Arabidopsis thaliana: one gene and its partner. The protein of the gene in region 1 interacts with the protein of each later gene in a pairwise test. Each region holds a gene or a part of one and is shown on either strand. Other genes may lie near its edges. The genes, in order: GIS2 and URO.

What was found.
Region 2: the proteins of GIS2 (region 1) and URO interact in a two-hybrid assay, tested with the Arabidopsis thaliana proteins (one large-scale study listed by BioGRID).

Annotation. Positions count from the first base shown.
Region 1 is NC_003076.8:2,041,352-2,044,724, reverse strand, and holds GIS2 (C2H2 and C2HC zinc fingers superfamily protein), read right to left. Parts: upstream 1,307-3,373; 5' UTR 1,240-1,306; coding exon 664-1,239; 3' UTR 525-663; downstream 1-524. Other genes in the region: EXT10 (Proline-rich extensin-like family protein), read left to right, coding at 2,797-3,373. UniProt on the Arabidopsis thaliana protein: Probable transcription factor required for the initiation of inflorescence trichomes in response to gibberellin and cytokinin. Is not involved in the regulation of trichome branching. Is functionally equivalent to ZFP8.
Region 2 is NC_003074.8:8,248,778-8,252,103, reverse strand, and holds URO (C2H2 and C2HC zinc fingers superfamily protein), read right to left. Parts: upstream 1,586-3,326; 5' UTR 1,526-1,585; coding exon 1,007-1,525; 3' UTR 621-1,006; downstream 1-620.

The DNA of each region.
Region 1 (3,373 bases):
AAATAACAATATTAAAAAACAAAAATCGAAAAAAATGTTACAAATAAATTCGTATTTTTTGATATTTGAATATTTTTTTTAGAAAATAAAAGGTCAAATTGTTTTTTACGAAAATTAAAGTGTCCACTTTTATGGTTGCTGTCTTGCTGATTATCAAATCGATCATTTAAATATTCCCAATTAATCACATACTTTAACCGTCGTTAGATGTGATTGACGAATGTTTCGCTTCTAAACACTATATTATTCAATTAATAATTTTACCTTTTTAGATACAAGTTGAAGTTTCAAGTAGCGATTTTAAAATACAATCCGAAGATTTTAGCATATGTTAATTTTGTTTTTGTTAAGTTTCATGGGTTAAGGTCCATTCTCAATTCTATACTTATAATGTGAGATATAAACCTATTCTGAGATTGGAATGCGTCGATAATATTTAAGACTTTAAATCTCAGAAAGAAACTATCTGAAGTTAAAGTTCATCTCCATAAAATTGTTTAACTGTTAATATAACATGATATCTACGGGGATACACTATCATAAATTCATAATTAATCAAGTAGACTAAAATAAAATAAAAAGTATTTGAAAGAAGGAAAAAAAACTAGTCTCTCTTTTTTTTTTTTTAAGAACTAGCTAGAGAGAGATACTAAAAGAATGGAACTAGAGGCGTAGATCCAAACTCACGTGGTCCGGTACATTCTTCTTGGACTCGTAAAACAGACCATGGCTGCTGCTACCACCACCGACATACGTTGGTCTAGTCTGGTGATCACCGATGAACCAAGGAATATATCTATTATAATAAGATGAACGGTCACGATTAAAACTCGCAGATGAGTTATACATACGACATAACCCTAATCTCGCGTCGTTGATTTGAACAGCTTCAAGGCTATAGCGATCCTCGTAGAGCCTAGAAGCAGCAATGTGGTTTTGTTGGCGGTGGAAGAAAGCGGCTGCGTTTGAATGGAGGTTGAAGCGTTTAGTTTGTTGACGTTCTCTCTTGTGAGCGTTTTGATGGCCGCCTAGGGCTTGTGAAGTAGGGAAGTTCCGGAAACAATAGTGGCACTTGAATCTTTTTTCTTTGTTATCGTCTTTGATGCTTTCATTGTTCTCGTTGTAATTGTCTTTGGACTCAGATTCTTCATGAGAAGCTCCAAACTCGAAGCCAAAGAGGCGAATGGGTCTTTCCTTAGGAGAGAAAGAGTTGACGTTCATGAAATCATAAGTCTTCATTTTAATATAGTGGTGGTTATGACTCTGGATGGCTAAGTACAGAGAAAAGATTGAAATTGTAGAGTTGAAGTAAAGGAAGATTTTGGCTTTCTATTTCTAGATTCTTCAACTTAGTGTTAAATTTGCAACTTCGAAGTACGGTCTCCTCTATGTTTCTTGCATTTAATTCCCGATGGGGTATGTACATAGATAATTTACACTGAATAACTATTAACTATAATAGACCTATTCAGGCACATTTAGTTTTTGGTAAGTAGTATATATTTACCCGTTTCTAGCTATATTCTTTCTAATTTTGCTATATTATAGTCTTGTATATGTAGATAGGATTAGCCAGACAAGAATTGAACTAAACTAGTGAGCTAATTGGTTTGTCTCCTTGTAGATAATCTAGTGAGCATTCAATTCAAATGCGGATTTGCCTTGATGATTTCTACCCGTCGAACTACCATCATTGATATGTCATGTCAATGCATCTTTTATGAAAAGGTTTTAGTACACGTATTTGATGTCAAGATAGTATATAGTTGTATCTTTAAGGTTCCTGTTTCTATGTTTAATAGTGACAGCTTATATACAGTATATAACACTGATGGCTATGTGTGAGGCTTTAGTCCAAAACTTCAAATCTCTGTCGTGATATATATACATTTTTTTCTTCCTTATGGTCAGTTTTAGAACAACCATGTTTTTGAGTAGTTAATCAAATTGTATGTTGCCTCATCTAATCAAATCCTCATTTTTGAGTAGGTAATACTAACCACAAGACCAAAAAGTAAAATAAAACAACCATGCATATGAATTAACATATAGTACAAGTTTTCAGGTGGATCCCTCAAATTAATGTAGTTAGATGGTAAACTGCGTGGTGTCACATCTTTGTTTCCTCATCTGCGCGATTACTTTTTTTTGTGTTTGGATTTTGCTTTTCGTCTCGAAGTACGATCTTGTTAAAAACAGATTCATTAATGTTACTCTCCATAACAAACTGCAACAGTGACGATATATTATGTTAATTTGTCTTCGTCATATTTGTTTTATTATAATGGATCATGAAAGTGGTCGCCCATGAGGAAAGAACATGGTCGTGAACCAAACGTTGCTCACACGATCGATTCGCATGCAGTTGCTTTAACAGAAGAAGAACAGCTTAAGCAACTCTAATATACCCTAAAATTCTTCAATAATCCTTTAGAAACAAAAGCAGTAGTTAATACACAGCCTTTTAATTCATCATAAGAGAAATAAAATATTTTTTCCCTTGTCACATAAAATTTATGAAACAAAAATTTTCTCAATAGCTAAAATAATCATTAATAGTCTTTTGTTCTTCTAATTATTTGAGTTGACAAAGTTCAAACAAAAGAAAACGAACAAATATTTCAAAAATTGAGGATCTAATAAAATTTCATATTCTCCACGATCGAATTGCTACTTTATTTCAAACAAACAACATTGCACGTCCTCTAATGTAATTGGAAGTGCCACACACGAAGCCAACTTGAGAAGATAGTATAATATTTACACACACAAAAAAAGACTATATAAATGGTATTCATGTTCAAGTATAACATAAAACCAAAACAAATAAATAAAAATAAAGAGATGGGTATGATGAGATCCTCAAGAACGATGGGGTTAGGGCATTGCATGGTTTACGTTGTGGTCCTAAGTGCCATTGCGGCTACAGTGACATCATACCCTTACTCCTCTCCTTACTCATCCCCTCAAACCCCACATTACAATTCTCCCAGCCATGAACACAAAAGCCCTAAGTACGCGCCACATCCAAAACCATACGTTTATATTTCTCCACCACCTCCATCATACTATTCTCCTTCTCCAAAAGTAAACTATAAGTCTCCACCACCACCAAACGTCTACAACTCTCCACCTCCACCATACTATTCTCCTTCACCAAAGGTTGATTATAAGTCTCCACCACCACCTTACGTCTACAGTTCCCCACCTCCACCATACTATTCTCCTTCTCCGAAGGTTGACTATAAGTCTCCTCCACCACCATACGTCTACAGCTCCCCACCCCCACCATACTATTCTCCTTCGCCAAAGGTTGAATACAAGTCTCCACCACCACCGTACGTCTACAATTCTCCACCTCCACCATACTACT
Region 2 (3,326 bases), on another chromosome or scaffold:
AAAAATCAGCCTACTACACCCAATTAAAATCTTTAATTTGAGTTATATATTTTAACACCGTCATTTCAATTTTTCCATGATTTTTAAGCCCAGCAAATCATAATCTGGCTCTTGAAATTTACGAACCCAAAAATCAAACCTCCAAATGATATTGGGCCTTTTAACTGGTCATACTTTGATCGCTACTTCTACTTCTAAACTTCAACTTTCAGTTCATAAAACCCAGATTTGACTTTCATTTACTCTCCTTTATTTTTTATGCATGTAATATACTATCACATTTTTATAATCATAATTTGTTTTACAACATCAAGGCTATGATTGATTCATATGAGCTCACATGGGTCTGCAAAAATGTAGTTTCTAAATTTGGAAGGCTTTTCAAATGGTGTAAATTATAAACTTCACCAACCTATTATTAAAACGCATATAATGTTTATCCCATTGCAGTTCGAATTCATTCATAATATAAGTTTAAACTTACTTTATAATGTAAATTCATACAAACCCACTTGAAATGTAAATTCATGTAAAATATTATACAAGAGAATGATAGATAGTCTTTGATTATACAAACCCAAATTTCATACAACGTAACTAATTATTAGAACATATTACGCAAAACTACTTGATCTATAGATCTACACTAATATATAGTTATGGAAAAGAACAATAATCCTGTACTATACAAACCCAACTTCAGACAACAAGAACATTTTTTTTTCTTTTTGAAAAAGGTATAACAAAAACATTACTCAAATTAACCTATTTGATCTATAATTTTTAAGTGAAAAATATAGTCTTGAATTATACAAACCCAAACTTCATACGATCATGATAAAAACATGACTCCAAGTCCAACATATTTTGATCATACTACATATATATTGAAAACATATATAAACACCACAATAAACATCATGCACTATACGGTGATTAACTTTCAACTATATATATATATTGTATATGGTTACGTGGATCGAACGTGAGGGAAACCGCTGCAAGCTTAATGATGACGATGACCGCCGAGTCGAAGATCAAGATCAAGATCACCATCTTGAGGTTGAGAACCTCCGGTCTCTGGTGGGCTCCGGTGAGTGTCATCATCTTCATTCATGGATCCGAGCCCTAAGCTCAAATTAAGATCATGAGACGCCCCTTGAGCAAATCTCCCTCCTCCTCTTGATGATGATGATGATCCAAAGTATTGTGTGTTGTGGCTAGGGTTAATAGGTGGCTGAGACCCTTGGTGTAGGTATGACTCAATGGTCGGAAAATAAGGAGGAGGGTTTGTGAAGTTTGTGGAGGAGGAGGGAGACTGAGATGGTAACGGAAGAGAAAATGGAAATGAGTGAGAAGAAGAAGAGGAGGAGGGGTATCTTTCGCGTTCCCTGCGGTGGATGTTATTGTGACCACCGAGGGCTTGAGGATTCGTGAAACCTCTCTTGCAGATGTCGCAGTCATAAGTCCGGCGGTTTTCTCCAGAGCCAGAGCCGGAATCAATTTGTTTGTCCCGGTGGTTCATCTCTCTCTTCTTCTTCTGTTGGGATCTCTCTCAAGTCTCAGTATTCAATGTTTTGAAAATGAGTGTATGAAGCTTCTTAAAAACACACACCAGCGTATATATAAGCTAAAGGAAAGATTATGTGTGTGAACGGACACTAATTAGGGCTAAATTGTTTTATCAATGGTTAATATATATACTTTAGGGTCTTTAATGTACTTAATTACGGGGGTGTGTATTATAATTAAATTCGTGCGTCTAATGTAACATGAATTAATAACTACAAAAACGTCATGCTTAGAATTATTTTAATTAGTTTATTTTCTAACAATTTTCAGGGAAAGTTTAACAAAGGATAATATAATAGATAAAGTTGAAAAATATTCTTCATAGGAAAACAAACTACAGAAGGTGTTATTTATAAGGTTTCGAGTGACTAGTTAGGGTAGCTAGTTTCTCTCTATTCAATTTCATTTTTGTTCAAGAAAAATATAAAGTTGTTCATCTTTGAATATAGTACAAAAAAGTACTTATTTGTTTGGATCGAGAGTAAAAATTGCAAAGTAAAATTGTAAAAATTGGAAGGCTAGTAGGAGCTAGTGAAATATTAAAGCTTAGTTAAATTTAATCTAATATAGTGTGAAATATATTTTGAATGTGAACATGTAATACCTACAAAATAATAAAACCAAATTTTTTAAAAGAAGCATTCACTAAGGAGTTGTGGACTTGTGGTTGTGCTTAAAGTAGGTAAAACAATTAAGAATATACAAATTGCTCTCATTAATTAAATAGCATTTATGAAATTTATTATGAGTTCTCCCCAAAACTGAAATTGATTTCGATGGTTTCTATACTTAGAAAAATATGCTTTAACAAAAACAAAATAAAACTTAGAAAAAAATACGATCGATGAGCGATCGCCTGCTACTCTTAGGATTGCTAAAATTAATATTTTACTGTATTCAATTTCAGAACCGACAAAATAATATTCACCTCCATAAACTTACTTCGTTCACACCGGTACCCTTTAACTTCTATGGACCGATTGAAACCGCGTTTTATAAGTTCGGTTTTAGCTATTGCCATATCGTTTTTTAGGATATAATAGAACGTTTAACGAATCACGATGGATCAAAACTCTCTATATATGCAATGGAAAATAATTATAGCCTCAAGAAAAATGATATTATGGAAGTTGAATAGATTTGTTATTATGTAGGCTGACTTCCTTTTGGCGTAGTCTCTTTTTAGTGAGATCATGCAGATAATATATAGTAAAACAAGTATACCATTATGTTTTATGGATTTAGATAAAGAACTATTGTCATTCGTTTTCTATAAGCTGATCAGGAGCATTAATGTTTTATAGGATTTCGAGAACATGTGAGAATCCTACTGACTTAAGAATATTCACTAGTGAATTTATAACAGACGAAAAAGAACTTTGGGACTACAGCTCATCGTAGACTTTAGCCTCCTAAAGCTACATTTATTTCTTTCATCAATAACATTTGTTTCATAAAACCCGCACGAACAAATATTCTAAATTGGCATGTGGATAAGAAACAAACTCGGTCAAGGTAAGGTCTATATAATTAAGCTTGATAAAAGAATCATACGGAAAAAATATCCACCAACAGTTTCAATATTTATATGTGTGTTTGGACTTGCGGGTGATATACAACATTAATAGTAATAAACTGAAAGAATAGTGTATGCATATATAGAAATGCTCTATGTAGTGTTGGAGACACTACAAAAAAAAGGTTGTTTTACATCATTTATTATAAATATTTGCATTAGTTAAAAGTGATGTAAA